2 linked regions of the Xenopus tropicalis genome follow. The protein of the gene in region 1 purifies or fractionates together with the protein of each later gene. This does not show direct contact. Links are inferred from orthologs where the notes say so. Each region holds a gene or a part of one and is shown on either strand. Other genes may lie near its edges.

Evidence for each region. Proteins that work in one complex are often made in the same cells at the same time.
Region 2: the proteins of ofd1 (region 1) and fopnl purify together in Homo sapiens (co-immunoprecipitation; 3 studies listed by BioGRID and IntAct, with this or other methods). This does not show direct contact. The link is inferred for Xenopus tropicalis from reciprocal best matches to the Homo sapiens genes OFD1 and CEP20.

What each region holds. Positions count from the first base shown.
Region 1 is NC_030678.2:105,737,528-105,747,589, reverse strand, and holds part of ofd1 (oral-facial-digital syndrome 1 protein), read left to right. Parts: intron 1-251; coding exon 252-371; intron 372-1,352; coding exon 1,353-1,426; intron 1,427-2,285; coding exon 2,286-2,377; intron 2,378-2,505; coding exon 2,506-2,695; intron 2,696-2,781; coding exon 2,782-2,912; intron 2,913-5,037; coding exon 5,038-5,149; intron 5,150-6,045; coding exon 6,046-6,690; intron 6,691-6,792; coding exon 6,793-6,937; intron 6,938-9,081; coding exon 9,082-9,173; intron 9,174-10,062. UniProt on the Homo sapiens protein: Component of the centrioles controlling mother and daughter centrioles length. Recruits to the centriole IFT88 and centriole distal appendage-specific proteins including CEP164. Involved in the biogenesis of the cilium, a centriole-associated function.
Region 2 is NC_030685.2:33,921,968-33,932,779, forward strand, and holds fopnl (lisH domain-containing protein FOPNL), read left to right. Parts: upstream 1-5,762; 5' UTR 5,763-5,938; coding exon 5,939-5,966; intron 5,967-6,012; exon of another isoform or gene 6,013-6,204; coding exon of another isoform or gene 6,205-6,217; intron 6,218-6,347; coding exon 6,348-6,545; intron 6,546-7,661; coding exon 7,662-7,746; intron 7,747-7,893; coding exon 7,894-8,021; intron 8,022-8,967; coding exon 8,968-8,999; 3' UTR 9,000-9,019; intron 9,020-10,049; coding exon of another isoform or gene 10,050-10,072; 3' UTR 10,073-10,337; downstream 10,338-10,812. Other genes in the region: abcc1 (ATP binding cassette subfamily C member 1), read right to left, coding at 166-207. UniProt on the Homo sapiens protein: Involved in the biogenesis of cilia. Required for the recruitment of PLK1 to centrosomes and S phase progression.

The DNA of each region.
Region 1 (10,062 bases):
CAGTTACATGAATAATATTACACACTCTTTTTATTACTGTTATTGTTCCTATGCCATGTACTAAGTCGGTTTTATCTCATGTCTGACAGGCTGTGTCTACATGACATCCATAATATCTGTGATTGACATTAAAGTAATATACTGTGATACCATGGAGATATCCTAACATTGACACTTGTGATGTATCTATCAGGTGTAAAACACTAGCATTTGATATACCTATACCATTTTCTCCTTTGTTTTTTATGTAGTACTCAGAAGCTGGAAGCAGAAAAGAACAGAAGTATAGATGAATTTCTCAGGAAGCGGGAGCTTGAAGTAAAGAACATAGAGGACACCTTCGACCAGAAGCTTAAAAATGAGCTATTAAGGTCTAATATATTTTGTTGATTTACCATAGTCACTACAATTGTGTACCTGAAGCAAAAGACACAGCCATTAGGTGCTGCTGGAGAAATTTGCAAAATCTCGCTTAGTTTGTACTTCCCACTAACTCTGTTATCACACCATTCCTCCTTGTAAGTTGTGATTGTGTCCAACAGAAGGACAAAAAATGTAGTGTAATGACTACAAAAATTGTAATGCTTTTTCTGTCTATCTAGTGCTGCCTATCATGTTTAAAATGTGCCTTTCTTTTACTTTACTGTAGCAATATTTCTAACACCACATACCTGCAGTGCTTTAATAAGCAGTAAAGATGGCAAAAAAAAGTTTTTTTTTTCCCAGGGTTGTTATCTTTTGACTTGCTTTTATTGTGTTCATAAGAAGAGAACATATAGAACTTGACTTAACTTTTAGTTATCCCTTCTGGCCAGTCCTACACTGACTGACCTATATAGTCCCTTTGCTCAGTACTAATCTTAAATTACTTATATAGGTCAGTCAGTGTAGGACTGGCCAGAAGGGATGACTTTGACGTAGTTGGCCAGCTTGAAGTATATTGCAATGTACGGACAAACAATCCCTCTTTTTGGGGTGGGGAGGGAAGGCATTTCTTAGTAGCTGAATGCACAGAAATGTCCTAATGTCCTATTTCTACATATTGTTAATGGGTGAGTGCAGATGATTTTTTGCGGTTGTATACTGTATATGTATTTTGTGGTCACAGCCTCATTGCACCCCTGCCTAATGGTTTACAATTTAGTGGTTGAGCACAACTTTCCCTTTTTCTTGTGTTATTGTTTACTTTTAGTTTCAGATCTTGCCCTGTTTAGTACAAGAAATGATAATAATTATTGGAATTTCATTAAAATAGGACAAAAGTATATTTGTTAAACTACTAAAAAATTATGTATACTTCCTCCTTAATCACATGCTTATTTATTCATTGGTTTGTATTGTCCCTTGCATAGGCATCAAATTGAGTTAAATGAAGAATATATAAAAAGAACAAAGAAAGTAAGTGAAGATGAAAGAAGAAATAAAGGTTAGTAGAACCACAATCAGCATGTGTTTGCCCACCCAATCCCTTTCCTATAGTTACATCAGACTCTAGCACCAGCGCTGGCAAATTGCGCCATTTGTGTACCAATGATCACTGTTTTTGCTAGATTCCCCAACTTTTTATATATTAACTAGAACATATAGTTAACAAAATGGAAGGGTCCTCCAGTGGTGATGCAAGAGGTTTAAGTTTATAAAAGTGATTTTTCATAACCATCTAGGAAAAGGTTTCAAACTTAGTAGTTTATTTTAAAAGGTGTATAAAATGATTTAATCTTTAAAGAAATAAAAAAGTGATTGAAATTAAATGGGAATCACCTGGCAAACTTTAGAGAACCCATCCCCTACTCTTTGGCATATCTCTTATTTCTATTTCTACGTTCATTTAGGTTATGCAGAGAACTGTTAAAGATGTTCCATTTACAATTATAGGAACCTTTGGAGCTTTGTAATGTGCAAGCCTTTTTCCCTCAGCCTTGCATCATGTGACAGAACAAGTTCATATAGGAAGATGCTTATAGATAGACATTGATTAGTTCTGTGGATAATAGGTTTCCTATAAGCAGTCTCTAATTGGATTAAAAAGATTGGATTGGAATATTTTTTGAATTACATATATTTTAAAGTCATTATAGGCTTTGGTAACAATATAAAGTCACCAAATTACCCACAGGTTGGGCAAAACTACTTCATTAAAACAAACCATTCATGTGTTTAATACCTTATATGACTGCAAAAGTGCATGTACATTTTTTTAAGTTGTTATGTGAAGCTGTTGATGATCCAAAACTGGGAACATTTATAAGATGGGCACTGGACATTTTCTGTGTTTTTCTTTCTAGAGGAAGCATCAAAATTACGTGAAGAGGCTGTTGTAATTAATATGAAAAAGCATGAGTCAGAACAAGCAATGACTCGTATAAAGGAACTGGAGGTAAGAATTTTTACATTTATGTCAGTGATTAAGGGATAACATGTCTTCTGCACCAACACAACACAAAAACTAACTGGTGCAAAATGAAATAAGCATTCTAATTATAAAATCTCTCTCTCTAATTTCAGATAGAGGTAGATTCTCTGAGAGCACAAATGTCTCTTGTAACAAGACAGAATCACCACTTAACTGACAAGCTGAAAGAAACCGTAGATTATCCCTTGGTACATGAAGAAAAGCTTAAACTTCAAGGAGAAGTAAAGATACTTAAGCAACAACTGGATGAAATACACAAGGATAATCAGATCCTTAGAGAAAGTGAGTTAGTGTTGCTCTGAGTTGTAACAAAATGCTCTTACCCTGATTTGTAAAAAAAAAAAAAATATATGTATATCCTATTTCAGGAAATCTACATCCAAGTCCTGAGTATTTGGTTCTTCAAGAAGAATTGAAGAGAATGGAAAGTGCAAGAAAGATGGACCAAGAGGAATTTAAATCACAAAAAGAAATCTTGGAAACACAACTGCACAGTGAGGTAAGCTCTCTATCTCTATCATCATGTAGCACTGTATTATTAGTACAAATCCTTTTGGATCTTGCTGATTTACAGTGTCTCTTGCCATGCATACCTAAGGTCAAATATTACAATATCCAACCTATAACACCTATACATTAGGGTTCACTGATTCCAAGATTTTCACAAAGAAAAAAAAAGCCTTTGCTGCTAAAGTCTCCACTACCCTTGCAGCATAATTTCATAACTTACCAGTTTCCCTTGGAAATACTTTATTCAATCTTCTCTACTCATAATAGTATTTGACATAGCTCTACAGTGCTACTGTGGTTCATCACATGGTATCTGCTGCTCAATGCAAGGCCCCATGCAGTACATTGCAGCATAGCTACCATGCCAATGCAATAAGGTACTTAGCACAAGTTACATAGCCTCCAGTTTCATTCATTAGAATAGTTATAAATAAGTGTTCCCACCCACATTTATCACAATTTGCTGAACTTAATACAATTTTAATTTGTATTGACCCAGATCACTGCACTACATTTTTTACAGTGTCAAAACAGGACAACAAAATGTCTACTAATTGCATGTTCTTAACATTCTAATACTAAATACACATAACCATGCATTTGCCAATATTGGTATTTTGCATGACTTTGCTAAAAGTTAAATAATGTATACTGTGACCACATAGACACTGTGGCATTATGTTTACTCTGATCAGAAATCCATTTTAAGAGTCACTTAATACCTTGTGTCCTTAAAACTTTTTACCATATCGACTCAAGAACATAGCAATATTTTGAAATAAGTGAAAGTATGTTGGTAATGCATGTACTGAAGAATACTAGGACATTTTATTTACAATGCTTAGCTCTGTGCCCAGTTTCATATCACCCAGTTTTATTTTCAGCGTGCTTGAAGTTAATGTGGCCACAGTGTAACTGGACAGTTCTTGGCTTGTTTCTCACCATATTTGCCTTTACCTTATTTTTGAATTTCTGGCTTGGAGGCAAGTTTTGGTTGCAGAAAACCCAGTGTTATGCCATCAGAGCCTTCTGTAGACTGCCAATCCATAGAGGGGTTACCAAATAGCCAATCATGGCTCTACTTTGGCAACTTTGTGTTGCTTCCCAGCACTTTTTCCATTTGAATGTGGCTCATGGGTATAAAGGGTTGAGGACCTCTGATCTAGGGGTAATGTTAAGTAACTTCACAAAAAAATTAAGGGTCACAATCCACGCTTAATAAATGGGCCCCCCTTTAAGAGCACTTTTTAAAAATGCTAGAGTAATCCCCAATAAGCATCTCCAAGCCACATAAATTAACAAAAATACTGACACAGAACAACTATTCGTACAAAATAAATATGTTTTGCTTATTATATAAAAAAAAATTATTACTCTCAACATTACAAGTTTAATTTTAATTAAAGTAACTGGCAAAAATGTGGTACAGTTATGGGACCTGTTATCTAGAATGCTCATCACCTTGGGTTTTCTAGATAAGGGATCTTTCCGTTATTTGGATCTCCATAACTTAAGTCTGCTAAAAATGACTTAAATATTAAGAATATACCCAACAGGCTTGTTTTGCCTTCAATAAGAATTCATTATATCTTGTTATTATTACAGAGAAAAAGGAAATCATTTTTAAAAATTAGAATTATTTGGTTATAATACCCAAAAGAGCTTACAATCTACAAGGAGAAAGGGTTGAGACACAATGTGTGGGAAATGTATATTGTTATACATCTTAACCTATTCACCCTACCTGTAACAGAGTAGTTTCCAACATATTTGTAAAACTGTAACATCATCAATCATTTTGTGTGACAGTAGAACACAAATTCAATATATCTTAATGATTAATTCAAAGTAAATGGATTGATTGAGCCTATTAACAGATCTCAAAATATAAAGAAGAACTGAGCTAATGTGTTTTTTTTTGGTGTTTTGCCTCCAATAACGATTAATTTTATCTTATTTAGGATTAAGTACAAGGTACTGTTTTATTATTACAGAGAAAAGGGAAAACAGTTTAAAAATGTTAATTATTTGATTAAACGTTATACCTGTAAATAGTTACATAACATCCTGAAATGCTGATGTAATGTTGTATTTTGGCCCTGTTCCCTGTGTAGGTTAAGCGGAGTGCTGAATTGAAGGCCCAGCTTTTAAACAATGAAGATTCAGCACAAAAATTGAACTCAAAGGTTGAGCACCTCGAATTTCAGCTTCGACAAGCGCAGCTCGGTTTGTCAATTTCCTTTTTTATTATGTTTTAATTGCAATATATGCACATGAATTTGAAGCAGAAATATATATAGTCTGGAAACGCTTAGTTTTTATATCGTGTTTTTTTTAAACGCAGAATTTTCCTAGGCAAAAAATAAATGACATTGTGAGGAAGCTGGCAAGAACATTTAGCACTCAACTGGATTAAATTAATTTATTACTATGTTGTACAGCAATCATCTTTCAAACACAGCTTTATTACTCTCTTGAGAAAAACTGACTGCAAAAGGACTTCTCATATTCCGTTAGTGATGCAGACTAGGAAATGAAATTGAAGTCCCAGAACAGCTGAAGGAACAAAGCAAACCAAAAATCTATACTTTTATAGGAGCATTTTGAGTTGTATTTATAAGTGGCCTATAAAATGTGCATTTTGTAAATAACATACATATATTTCATTCAAAATGTATGTTTTATTATCCAGTTTAAATGTAGTTGCAATTTAAAAACCATATTTTTCTGTCCATTTCTGCACTGTTGTTTCAGTCTCTTGAAACAATATAACAGAAGTCAGACTTGAATACTTCTTCAAAGGTCTGTGAAAGAGCAACTTTGTTTCAAAAGTCAAATCCATGATGGTTGAGAATAAAATCAATTATCAGATACAAAGACATAAATAACTTTAAAACCAGTGAAAACTTGCAATGTAAAATTTATATTGCAAAGTAGCTAAGAATTACAATTTTCTTAAATTAGGCAAGTTTTTGGGTGGGGGACCACTTTAAAATGAGAGTGTGGGTTGGGTCTGGTAGCTGGGATGTATTTTGTTACAAAAAAAGCAAATGTAATCAGCTTCAGCTGTTCCCAATTTAATTTTATATACTTTCCTTTCTGTGTGATTCTTGCTTGCCCAGCTCTGGAAAATGAAGTGTATCGCAACCCAAAGCCATCCCTGGTTGATCGCTCTGTGCTGGACTTCACTGCAGACAAGATTGTGCCTCCTGATATTTATGTTGATAAAGCTGTTCTGAAAAGCCATCGTTCCTATGATACCTTTGTTGAAGCATGTGGCAGGTCAAGTCCAATGTATTGCCATACGACAAGGCCTCGCAGCAGCTCCCCAGATTCTGATTTTGAATTTGTAGCAAATACCAAGGCCCGAATCAAAGAACTTGAAAAGGAGGCAGAATATTTAGAGGAAGCCTACCGTAAATATCAGAACAGAATCAGTGAGGGCGCTACCATTGAAGGTATACATTTGACTACTGTTTCTAAAGAGAGCAGCCTTTTGAGTACTGTTCCAAAAACAAAAAGATCCGTTAAAATCTTGACAGATGTTTCTCATCAGAAAGTTGCCTTTTTAGAAGATAATCTCACACCAGATCATCAGAGCCTTCTAAACAGATTAAAGTTAAGACACAAAGAAGAAAATCCTTCTGAGACTACACCTGAGATTACACCTCCAAGAGCAAAAATCTCATCTGCAAGAAGGTTATCCTCAACTCCAATATCTAAACATGACCAGAACTCAAGTGAAAGGCAAAGCATTTTAGCAGAAGGTGAGACAGTCGCTTTACATATAACACAAAATGTAGTATTTATAATTTGACTATTCTCTGCTGTCCTTGGACTGAACTTTTTTACGTTTCATATTGTTATAGCAGACCATGAAGACTCTATTGTTTCATCATCTCAACAAAGCCCTAAGCAACGGCTGTCTCCTATACCAAAAAATGAGCATGTTTCATCAATCAATTGTGATGTTCCTGATATTCCAGTGGACGCAGAAAAAGATTACAGTTACAAGTAAGAAAACACATTACTTTTGTGCAGATCCTTTCAGTGTCATCTCTAGCATTTGTCATATATATCTTAACTTAATCTCATCATCTCCAATGTACTTTACCCATAACACAATGAAAATAAGCTTAAAAAGCGGGATAATAAAGACAACTAGCACCAGCTGAAAAAGAAAAAGCAAACCACCTTTAGCATAAAAATAAGCTTTGGTGTGCACGGTTAATTCATACAAAAGCATTAATATTTTTGAGAAATGGTTATTCACATACAATCATTTTGACATACTAGTTTTTATCACAAATGTTTTCAAATCGATTAGAATTAGAGGTCTGTCATTCCAAAGCAGGGATTTTACCATTTAAAAGCTTACAACTTTCCTGCTGCAGATATCTGGTAAATCTGGAATTGACCTGTTGCTGTTTACCGAACAAAAACTCGTGGTTGAATGTAACAGGGTAACAGGGATAGCACTTCTGGTGCCAGAACCGCTTTGTAACCTCATATATACTTTTTTTATTGTGGCTTTTGCTTTAGTTGTAGGAGTGCATTCTTATAAACAAAATACCATGTGCATAAGTGGTAAAAATATATTCAAACAAATAAAGTATTCGGTAACTCAAAACCAGTCCATAAAAATATAAATGTAGATAAATCTCCATGTTAAAGAGAAAATCTGGAAACACCATGGGGTCTGTATGTGTATTTTCTTTTAAACATGGAGCTTTAAATACATTTATATTTCTATTGACTGATTTTGAGTTATGGCATACATTTCTACATATATCCCCAATAATAAGTAAATGGCGTTTGTTAAAAATATATGCATAAAATACAAGACTATCATAGGTCTACTGAAAAATCTATCTAAAAATTGGATCTTGGTGTAATTATTGTTGAAGTCTCGAATTAGACTTAAGAACAACATATACTGTTTAAATAAGTTCTCTGCAAAGTCCTATCAAAATAATGCTCTCAAGGGCTCATGGTCTGTGTTACCTCTGAACTCCTTTCATTGTGCAAAAATCTTTTGTGCACCCTTTAAAAAACTTTTCTTAGAAGACAGTGAGTATAAATAAGTACTAAATTATGTGTAGTCACACAAAATACTCTGTGTGCACCACAGTTGGTTTTATGTGCTAGCCTCATATTTTGAGTGTGTACAAGAGCACATGGGCAAGTGTATGTTGTAAAGTTTGTCTCTAGTTTATAGGGCCATATTAAGACTATATGGACACACATTCATTTTCACATAACAGATAATAAATGTCACGTCTAATTTAGTCCACCTCATTGTCCCTCTTCCTGGTCTTCATGATTACAGTATATTGTAACTATAAAAAATATTGCCTGTGCTTTTTTTTTAAACTTTAGACTTTTAGTCAGATTTATTATCCTTTCAACAAATAAACAGCTTGCCAGGTTTTATTTTTCAAAAGAACATACTCATTGAAAAAAGTGCAAGAAACCACAAGCAAGATCTCCTGCAGTTTCTTATGATGATAACTATAAACCTGAGGATTGAAGGATCATAAATCTGCTCCATAGGGGTATATTTATCATGCTGTGTAAAAAGTGGAGTGAAGCATTACCAGTGACGTTGCCCAGGGTAACCAATCAGAAATTAGATTTCAACAGTTAAAAAACCAAAGCAAAGCAGCTTATTGGCTGCTATGAGCAACATCACCGGTGATGTTTTACTCCACTTTTTACACAGAATGATAAATATACCCCTTAATGTACAGTGTTTGTTGCACAAAGCAAACAAGGTAAAGAGCAAGGAAAGAGCAGATAAAACAACTCACTGCTTGGGAAATAACAAGCATTAAGTAACTTTATATCAACATCTCCTATGCCAGTTCCCTTTTGCAAAAGGTTTGCTGTTAATTTCAAAAAAGGTCCATTCAGTAGTCATTTTTAGAATGCAGTGCAATACACAAAGCAGTATGAGTGAGGCTGCGGAATTGTTAATAATTGAGTTACCATGGAGCAAAAGTGATTGTTAATAATGAATAATGAGCCGTTACCAAGGATACATTTATACTTTGCAACAGACTTTTAATGCAAAATAGGTAGAAGGTAAGGTAAAGTCCTAACTGGGTACCTCTGTTTAATACAATGTACTCTAATGCTAAAATGTTTAATTTCTCCAGGCAAGATGTCAGTTGTCATGAAGTATCCAACCATGCAGAGCCACAAAAGCTATATTTTGATGACCTTAATAGCACTAATTCTTCTTTAAAAGGTAAGAGGATTTCGGCTAAATTGATATAACTAAAGAACTTCACATAAAGCAATTGTGGTTTGCTGAATAACTCATTTGAGACCTGGGAGATACTGCACTTGGAAACTCGGATTGTGTAAAAATAAACCTCCATTGCAATAGAATCAATTTTTTCCTGTTTAAAACACATTACATGTAAGCACAATCATGAGACCATTTTTCACTAGAATGTTATTCTCTTGTTTATTACTTATTGCATCAACTTTCTCTTTCGCTGCAACATTTCCATAGACCGCTACAGATCTATTAGTTCATATAAAAAGCCACAGTAATTGCAGATGAATATTTTGAAATAAAACTAGCACATAGAGAAAGAGCCTATAATTATGTATTTTTAAAATGCCTTATTGTCTCCTATTAGCTGTTTACTGTTCTAAGTTTCTGGAAAAGAATGTAGGGTCTGGACGGAATTGGTGCCTCTTTATAGACTGTCGTCTTCCAGAGATTTGTGGCTTTGCCTCAGCTTTTCACATCAAGCCAGTAATTAACTGTTAGAGACAGTCACGTAACGCATAAGAAATGTCATAACATTGTTCCGAGTGTCGTTGCTTTTCCTGATAAATATTTGGATATATCCCCTGTGTTGTGAAATATACCAGAGAAAAGTGACTAGTTAGCTTTAGATATTATGAATATTTAAAATCAGTGAGCCTTACAACTGGCTAAGTACTATTAAATTGCAATTATAAATGGTATATTGTTTTCTAAATATAAACTTGATCACCAAAAACAAAACTAAGGAATTAATTTATATGCTTGTGGTTATGCAGGTTAAGTAAAGATTTCTACTTTCATGAAAAGAACCTAAGACCTAAGTTATGAAGATAATAAAATTCATTATACACATGTC
Region 2 (10,812 bases), on another chromosome or scaffold:
TGCCTGGGAACTCCCCCCACAGCACTACTACCACAGCGGAGTTGGGTTACAGAGCCCAGGCGGTGGGAAGCTGTGCATGCGGCCAACAGGGTGAAGGGATTAGCGACTACCAAGGGCAGGGCCATGTCAGATGATGGTGGAGAGTCAGAGGAAGGTCTGCCTTACCCAAAAGCGCTCGCTGCCGTCATAGCTGCAGAAGGATTCCATGCCGGGCAGCACAAGGGACACTGATGATGGCAGCCGGGGACACCTCCGGGAGACACAAACAGAACCACAAACTACATAACAGCTTAGCAGCCACGTCTGCCTCACAGTGCGCTGATTGGTCTGTCCGCCGCTCTGAGCGTACTATGATTGGGTAATAGGTTGCCGGTTCACAGCGTACTGATTGGCTCATGTCCCGTCGGAGACCTTCTGCTGATTGGCTAAAGATAACTAGGAGGGCTTGTTGACGCGGGAATATCTAAGCGAGTAAAGCCTGTGGCTCTATTACGTATTCCTTGAAATATAATGCTTTACATTACTGGTTTCTGGCGCTTGGCCAACTCCAACTTGCAGAAATCCAGGTAACCCTGTGCAGGTGTCCCATTCTAATATTGTAAGTGAACCTCACGCACCTGTAGGGCTTTAGAAAGGTGAAATATTTATCCGGGCTATGTGCAAACAGTAAGGGCTGAGCTATTGGGGGCAATTAATCTCCCAGACATGCCATCCCACCAGCAAGAATGTAAATTGCAGGTTGGATGGTATATGCGTCGCTTTGGCCGCCCGAAGTTGCCTCGCAAAGAAACTTCAGGCAACCCCGGAAAACCGAAACGATGCGTATACCATCCCACCTGCAATTTACATTCTTGATGGTGGGATGGCATGTCGGGGAAATTAGTCGCCCGCTGCTATTTGTCACGGCTACAGAATGCCAGAAAAAACCCTGCCATAGACTGAGAATTGCCTCTGTTAAAACACACATAGAGACAATTATCATTAAATGGTCAGCATTGTCTATTTTTGTAGCTGTGACAAGTAGCTGATATTAGTAGTTCCATGTGTCTTCACACTTAAGGACAGTGGCACACTTCAAAACTGAGACAACACATATGCCGTTCCACCAGCGATTTACATTCTTACCTGAGGGATGACATTTTGTGGAGATTAGGTGCCTGTGGTAGCGAAGATTTATCGCGGGCAACTAATCTTCCAATGTGCCACCTACCTTAGTCCTGTACAGGCAGTAAGAGAGATCACTCTCCAGTGTGGCTTTTTTCTTCCGTAAATAAAGCAGTTATAAGGAAGCGCAATTTATATGTATATATTCTTACAATACACAAGTGCCCTGAAAATCCTCCTGTATCCTAATAAATGGTGCTATGTTATGTCATAAGTAATAATCGGTACCTAATGGTGTAATTTTTGTAACAATAAAAGTTATGTATTATAATGAAAGACCATACAGAAGCACAAGGCTTAGGTCTTTTGTAAAATATAAGTCACTTTGGAGTTCCATGACCTGGATAAAAGCACTTAGACTTAGGCCTTGTGCTTCTGTATGTTCTTGGAACTCCTCAGTAACTTATAATATTACACAGAGGAGTCACTTGTAATGTACATTTTTTTATAGTTTTATTTACTTGACTTTTTATGTTAAAACAAAGAAACAATAAAGAAAGACTAAAGAAAACAAAAAAAGTCTCAAAAGCCTGATTCAAGAGCCTGTTCACAGATTACAGTTTCAGTGAATACACAAATATAGTTACTACAGGGCTGTTATTGTACAGATACCCATACAACCCAGACTACATCATTTTTTTTGGGACACCCTCTGGCTATATAAGTTTACAATATGGGGTACATTATTTGCTATATATCCTTATAATACAAAACCCCCTAAATATTCTTCTTGTAAAGTCTATCTTTTTTAATTGGTCCTTAGTGATGTCATCAATTTCTGTGACAACACTCACTGAAACTTGTGTATTATAAATAAATAATGCACCCCCTGTTGTAAAATATGAGGATATTAGAAATAACCTCAGAGTTCCATGTCCTGTATAAAAGTATAAAAGCATTTTATAAGTTCATGGAACTCCTCTGTGATTTATGGTATCCTTATATTTTACAATAGTGGGTACATTGTTCACTGTATAATATGCTATGTTTCTGAAAAATGTCTACTACCAAAGTGTAGTATAGGGAACGCTAAAATGATGCCATGCAAGGGTATGGCCAGATTTTTATTGTTCTTTACCCCAAGTTAAATAGGGCTGCAACCTTTGTCGGCAACCAAAGCACTGGTTACCAGCCAAAGGGCTGGTGATGTTTAGAGACAGAGCTGTGATGTTGAGGTTGGGGCTATAACATCACATATCACACAGTTTGTTTCTGTTTGTCAGGTGTAACCAAACTGGGCAGGAGGTTTTGAACTAGACAGCCCCTTCAAAAACCATGCAAAAACCGGACAGGTGCTTAAAGTCAAATAATTCTCCATCCACCAGGATCACAGAATTATCTGTTTAAAGAGCCTGGCAAATTGCCATACATGCCCAGAGGATCAGCCAGTACTACCAACATTGGCTAAATTGACTAACAACAAGTGAGAACTGGGAATATTATGGTTAGCTTTATGGCAATTTGTGCTTGATGTGTGTTTTATGGCACTACCAACACTATTACACTATTGCACTATAGCCTGCATTAATAATGTCATATCTAGTCTAACAGAGTTAAAACCAAGAAACATATTCTCACTTTTTATAAAAAATGTCTACAGTGGGGTATGTGGAAAAAAAATGGTTATCTTTTTGTGGTGTAAACAAACATTTTACTTAAACTGAATGCCAATTTTGTCTTAACACCACATTTGCTGATTCCACCCCCCTATGTATCAGCCACATTAAATCTCTGCCTCTGTGAGTTCATAGTTTAATTTAGGGGAAAAGGCACCTAGGATTAAGATACTGAAAAAACTCGAGAAAACACAATTCTAAGGGGCACATTTATCAAAGTAAGATTGAGTCCGAATACAAAAAATTTGTATTGGTTCGTACTGTGCGTATTTTCTGCGATTTTTTCGTACTTTGCGCAACTTTTCAATACTTTGCGACAAAATTTGTGCCACATAAACGTATTGACGCGCCGAGTACAAACGTTTCAGATTCATTCAAGCTTCGGTATCGTGACTTTTCTTGGGCCAGGTTGGAGCTGCAGAGTGCTATTGAGTCCTATGGGAGGCTTCCAAAATCATGTACAGAAGGATCAAAGTCGGAAAGGTTTTTCCGCTGTTTATGATTGTTCGATCCGAAAATTTTGTGACTTTCGGATCGCCAATACGATATTATCGTGACTATTCCGATTTTTTCGTAAGCATTTTCGTGATATTTGCGATCATCAGAAATTGTCATATCTAACCCAAATTTTTCCCATTTCAGGATTCAAACTCGTACTTTGATGAATGTGCCTCTATTAGTTTCTGTGTGTGGTAGTTCTTTTGCCTGTTTATGCCATCTGCACTTCAGCACAATTTGAAATAACTGTGATATTATCTTAAAGGACAAACAACCCCCGAATGCCAATCAGGTCCTAAAAGACTTAAAATAGGACCTGGCATTTTAGATACACGGAGGTCCAAACAGCCCCCACAGGCCCAATAAATAGCAACTGTCTATGCCTCTTTGGCATCTTACCAGAATATACAAAACAGGAAAGTAGCCAGGAACAGTACAGAACTAGTGCCAATGTGTTATTAGCCCCCCCCCCCTCTAGTTAATCCAGTCACTTCGTTTTTTCCCTGGGCTGCATTTGGGCTCCATTTAGGAAGAAAATCCTATCTTACTAACTTAATCTCTAATGCTGACATAGACGTATGCATTAGAGTAAAATCTACATACACAGTTATATAGTTTTCTTAGAACTATGAGGATCATACACTTTTTTTTTAACAAATTTGTCTTATATATATTCCTGATTTTTGTACCAATAAGATCCAAAAAGTCCTTACAGAACCTAATAAATCCTATGTATAACTACATAAATTACTGGGCCCTACTGGAAAACCTGTATAAAGCTCCCAAACCATAAGTAATGTGCTCTAAATGTATATAACAACGTTGTATACTAGTCAATACCTCCACCTGGCACTTTTACTACTATACATGGTATAGTAATAATTCTTTGGTGCTGGGCGTACACCTAGGGGCAGAATAAAAATGGCAAAATATACTATGCTGATAAAAATACAGCACAGTTTTAAAAACTGCAGAGCAGCCTTGGGCAAAAGATTAGCAATTTTTTTTACTCTGGGGTTCCTAACAAATTGGTATCTCCAGTGTTTTTATCTTTCATTTTTTCAAAAATAATATCTCTACTATCTAATACTATCAAATAGTATGCTGTTTTTGTCACAGATTACTGTTTTAATCTGTCTTTCTTTGTTTTATTGGTCAGTGTCTCCTACATATAAGGATAATTACACACAAAAAGGAAAAGGATAGAGATTAAGCAGGTGCTTAAAATGAAGAGATTGATTAATCTGTGCATTTTAGCTGCCAGATTTCATAAATATTTGTTTTTCAGTCTTGCTTTATTTTTGTTTCTTAATCTAACTTCCTTGTGTCATCAGCTTCTGGGAAATATAGTTCAGGTACATCTGGTTTCTGAGTAACAGGTCTGGCTTGGGAAATTAGATACACAGAAAAGTACATCTCCACCTACCAGTCAGTTCATGTATTCTCTGTGGCAATACTTTCTTGTCATATGGAACCATTCCTTATAATATCAGAAAATGCTCAAAGACCATAGCATTTAGAGCTTTGAAAAGAGAAGGGAGAGGTGATATAGTAGAAATATATAGTACAGGTATAGGTTCTATTATCTATAATGGGGGCTCTACCTGAGGCAAGTTGAGATTTTTGCCTCAGGCAGCAGACCCGATAGTCCAGTTTTAATATCAGAATTTTAGCTCTTCTAGTGAAGGGAGCGCAATCACACTCTCTGCAACAGCGATGCAGCCCCTCCTCTGACACTAAAAATTTAAGTGCAGGGAGGATGAGGGGGGCTGCATTGGAAAGCATGCTTTGGGTGGCAGAGGGGCTAGGATCACCACTAATCCTGAATGCTTGAGAAATGGGGGTTTCCAGATACGGGGTCTATTTGTAAATTGGACCATTTAAACATTAAATAAACTCAGGATTGTTTTGCCATCAATATAGATTCATGCAGCTTAGTTACCATCAAGTACAAGGTAAGGTACTCTTACACAGAAAAAGGAAATAATTAAAAAAAAAGAATTATTTGCTAAAAATTGACTTTAGTGTAGTTAAATTGTAATTTAGAGCTTTCTGGATAACAGGTTTCCGGATAAGGGATCCCATTACTGGGATAAGGAAATTAACAGAGCTCAAGTCTACACCTGAGTTCTGTTAATTTCCTTATCCCAGGTATGGGATCCATTTTACGGAAACCTGTAGTATTTTTGGCAGTGCAACATGGCTAGAACTAGGACACGAGCTGCCAACCAACTCCAAGCCATGAGTGAAATTATGATCCAGTCCTTGTTTTTTTAGACTTGACTTCCTCAACACTAAAAGATATTATGAAATAAGCTCTCAAAAAGGCCTGGAGTGGATCATTATCTTCCTGGCATGGGGTTGGAGCTGGAGTTGGTAGAGAAAACAGATTGTCAACAGATAACAACACTGGTCTGGTTCAGCAATTTCACCCACACCCAGCGTGACAAGTCCATACTTTATTTGTGTATTATCCCTTTAAGGCACATTCCGTTTCCGGGTTACACAGCCAGTACGCTTCAGGCGCTGGACAGCACTAGCGAGTCACAGTGAAGCTCCGTTCCCACAACAAAGCGAGTGTAACCCTGACCGAAGCCTGGGGAGCTGCGCATGCGTGCGAGGGGCAGGAGAGGCGGAGTTTTACACAGCCGTTGAGAACGATGGCTTCTGTAGGAGATCTTAAAGCGGGTGAGTTTGTGGTTCATAGCTCAGTTTGATTCTCTGTGTATTACTGTGCACTAGTCCTGCAGAACGGTGCTTGTATATATCAGTAATGGACTGACTACATTCTGACTATACTGACTATATCTTCTTACTGTAGCCAGGATTCTGGGAGTTGTAGTTCATCAGTATCGTCTAACTCTAAACCATTATGCCCAAGTAAAAGAGCGATAATATATATCATTTGTATGGAAGGCTTGTGATCATGGGAAATCTTGGTAAAGAAGTAGAGGGCTAATTCAGTGGCACTAGGGCAGTGGGATTCTCCCTAATAACCTGATATTGAAGAATATCTATTAACTTTACTCATTAACTTTAGATTCACAGTGCCATTGTTTCTTTCTGCAGTTGTGAAGGATACTCTGGAGAAGAGAGGAGTTATGGGGCAGCTAAAGGCCAGAGTTCGAGCAGAGGTGTTTGAAGCATTGGATGATCGCAGTGAACCCAAACCAGTTCTGTCCCCTGAAAATCTACTCATCAATGAACTGATTAGAGAATATCTGGCATTCAACAAGTATAGATACACAGCATCAGTCCTAACTGCCGGTAATGTGATCCAGGGGTGCCCAGCAATGCTAGCTGGCTGATTGTCACACTGACAGGTGTGCTGTATTTCAGTGCCTTACTGACTGTGCTGTTAGAAACGCTATTACCCACAGGAGCTTATTTATAAGCACTGGACAAGTTTTCCCCTGGGCAGTAATCCATAGCAACCAACTAGTGGTTAGATTTTTCCAGTCAGCTGCAGGTTGAACAATAAAAGCAAGAATCTGTTGCCATGAGTTTCAGCCCAGGTGCAGCTTTATCCAGTGTTTTTAAATGACTCCCACATGTCCTTAGAGAAGATATGTCCAAATTATTGCAGATGAGCTGTAGTTTCTACATCCTTGTCATCTGTTGTGCTGAGCCTTCCTTACAACATAGACCGCTATACCTCTGTATTAATCATTTGGCTGCAGTCAAATACTTGCTCCAGCCAAGCCTTTTATAGGACAAGGTTTGTGATGATTAAGCTGAGCGCTAGACAAAATAGTACCTATCGGAGTATCCCTTCGTAATAAGTGTAAATATATCTGGGCGTTGTTTTTTATCAGCTTATATCTAGAATTTCTTTTTTTTTTTTTTTTTTTTTTTTTAAATCTGTTGAAAAAGTTGTACAGGCATAGGATGCTTTATCCAGAAAGCTCTGAATTACAGGAAGGCCAAACAATTAAATAAGCCCTAGGACCAAACAATTGAATTAGCCTGATATCACCCACCTTAGGTGGGCATATCGGGGGAAGTTCTGCTCGTTTAGCTACCTCACAATGTGTATGGCACCTTACTAGAGATCTGGGCTGACAAATGTTCTTTTTTGATGAGCATGTTAGGTTATTAGCCATTCTTGTAACATATAGGCCACACACTGCACTTTGATTAAGGGATATGGTTAATCATTGCATGGGCCAGTGAGTCACATGCATATCATTTGGCCATCCTCCCTCATGGCTAACTTGCACTAAAATCCATTTGATCATCCCTTTAACCCTTATTCTCTGGCATCCTTGTTTATCTGTTCTGTTCTTTTTTCCTGTCTTGCACTTTTGGTTCCCCATTCTCTTTCTCTTTTGTTGTCACATTCTCTAAAGAGCTTACTGCTAAATTCTTTATTTTCTTTTACAGAAACTGGCCTTTCAGACATTCCACTTGATCGTTCATTCCTCACTAAAGAGCTTAATGTTGTTGACGATATGAACTCCCAGTCAGTGTAAGGCTTTGAAACAAGAATTTTGGTGCTAAATTTATTTAGCAATATTAAGTTGCTGTGCAAATGACATAAGAGCAACCTCATATTATTTCTTACAGTCTTGATAATTTCTGATGTGGAATTTCACCCTTAAATTTGTTACAACAGACCAATTCTCTATGGGATCCTTTCTCACTTTTTAAAAGAACATGAAGAGGGACCGTGCCAGAGAGTAGAGAATGTGTCAGCAGAAAAGCAAACATTTAGAAACATTCTGCGAGGCAGAAATACAAAAGGTAAAATGACTATATTTGGATTTTTGTCTTGAGTTTCTGCCATAAACTTTTGATACTGGTAGACTACTGTTTAGACCAGGGTTGGCCAATACGTCGATCACGGTCCACTAGTCGATCCCCCGTGGATCACTGGTGGACTGCGATGAAGCCGGGGATGCGGAAGTGCTGTGTGAATGCGTACGTATGCTGCGTCAAGTACATACGCATTCACGCCGCACTTCCGCATTCCCTGATCATAAGTCGACCACAGGATGGGAAAGTATAGCAACCCCTGGTTTAGACAGTTACTTAAAAAATAACCATTTTAGTTGGGTAGAGAACCTCAGGAATATGATGATTTCTCTTTAAAACAGCCCTGTTTTGGGGGCATTGAGAGCAACAGCCAAGGGGTTGGTGAGCAACATGTTGCCCGGAGCCACTGGTTGGGGATAACTGCATTACCACATAGCAACTGTGCAATGGGTGCATATAGCCAGTAGAGGGAGCCCTTATTTTGAGAATTCAGTTTGGTACTCCAGTCTAAAAATCCCAGTTTCACTGGCTATTAACATTTATTTGTGCACAGTTTTCAATAGCCCAGATACATGCTACAATGCAGACTGTGCTTCAAAGACCCAGACATCCCAAATAACTATCTATGAGGTTGTATAATGTATAATTTTATCTTGGTATAGCTGCAAGTACTGTTTTATTGTTTATATAAAGTCTACTTTCACACTTATAGCTACTCTATATAGCATGTCAAGCCTTTTCTGTTTTCTTACCTTTGTTTGGAGAACTGACAATTGTCAGGTACAGGTACAGATATCTAGGTATCCCACCACCATGGAAAATATTGTAGGTATAGATACAGCTGCAAGCAGTGGATGTCTGTTTTATAGTACACGTAAATACTTTTGTGGTTATTACTGACCGATTATTTATTTGGTTCCTATGTCAATGGCAGCTTCCTGTTTGCACCAGATTAAAGGACAATGAAAGCTTAATATAAATTAAAAGTAAGTCTAAAGGCATTCTTTTTAAGTACTTACTGCATATCTAAATTCCCAGATCCCTGCTTGCTTCTCTGAGATATGGTGCTGGCAGCCTACAGCAGTGTGAAGACTACAGTGACATCACTGAAATCTCTCTCCCCTTCCTGTAGGCTGCCAGCGGCAGCCTTCCTATTCTCTGAGCATGTGTGTAACTTGATCCTGTCTCCTGTTCTGAGCTACACATGCCCACCAGCCAATCAGAAGCAGATCTGGCAGAGGGGAGGGGGGGGAGGGAATGAAACACATGTGCAGTATGAAGCAAGGAGGGAAAGGAAGGGAGAATACCTTTTTAGAGATGGCTGCCTGTTCTAGAAAATGTGAAGTAAGACTGAGTAAATATCTGATTAGGTGAGCCAAAAGTGTGGCGTTTTTACTAAACAATAGGAGGACTATTCGGCAGTATGCTTTTTAAATGTTGACTTGCATTCTCCTTTAAAGTGTTGTATAAAGCTATAAATACATATTACCTTAATTCTATATATATACTTTTGCATAATGGCTCTCCCTTCTTAGGGCTTTAGCATATGCATTGATTTCAGCAACAAAACATAGCTGTGGTCACTTCCGTAGAAAAGGTATATGAATTGGTTATGGTAGACACATTATGTATTATGTATGAATTTAATATAGGTTTAACCCTGGCAAATGTTTTCTTCAGATGCAAAAACAAGTTGAGCAGATGCTTTCAATATATCAAGTGTAGGGCTGTATAGATTTCGGCACACTCCCACGCAAGGAAAAATGTCACTTGCTGGAATGAGGATAGTTTCTTTTATATTCAAAGGTAATCTTATTAAATAAGCAACTGGGTAAAATTAATTATTTTTAACTATCTCTTTAATAAAATTACTGCTATTATTCCAATTAAAGCTAAATTGTATCATTATTCCATTAAAGGGCATTAGCAAAGGAGATTTATAGCAGTGCACTGTAATGGAAACATTTTGAATAATCATTATCTTCCTACATTAACTACCATATTCCACTTTTCCAGATCATCCAGGCCCGTGCAGTTAACACAAACAAGCACTGAAGATCGGCATCAGCGAAGGCGCAGATAATTGCTTGTGAAGTATTCCAGAGGGATGACAGTTCGTTTACTCTATAAAGTTTTCTGCATTACAGACATCGTGGGCTTATCTCTCCTAAACAAATGTTTTTAGACACTTTAGGGAGAGAGTTTTTTTTAGACAAAGCTGCTATATTTATTATATTGTAACCATATTGGACAAGTTTATTTTGTAACAATGCAAATAAAAATGCACAGTGTACATTATTTATATTCCTGATATATTTATATGTTCATCCACATGTAGTCAACTATTGAAACAGACTGTTGCTAGCTTTTATTATGGTGTCCTCTTTAATATGACAGACTGCTCTACATTTTTCTGGGGCACATACCAAGCTTTCCTATCCTCAGAATATTATAATTTAAGCTAAAGATGACAGGATGACTCTGGGATGTTGTAAGGACAATTAAGAGCCCAAGCAAAGAAAGAGTATCTTTGTAGTGAGGTAACCAAGCAGATTTAGGCTTATGTAACAAAGGGAGGCTTATTACAGGCTAGAAATATGTTCCTTGTTCATTGATATGGGGCTACAGTATCTGCAACTTGTGCTTACTAATCTGTTTTGTTTTAATTCATTTATATACTCCAGCACCTCACATTAACATTTGTGGGACTGTGATGGCAGCACTGGTTATGCTAATGTGGGTCAGATTCAATTACTGCTTAGGGGTTGTTCACCTTTAA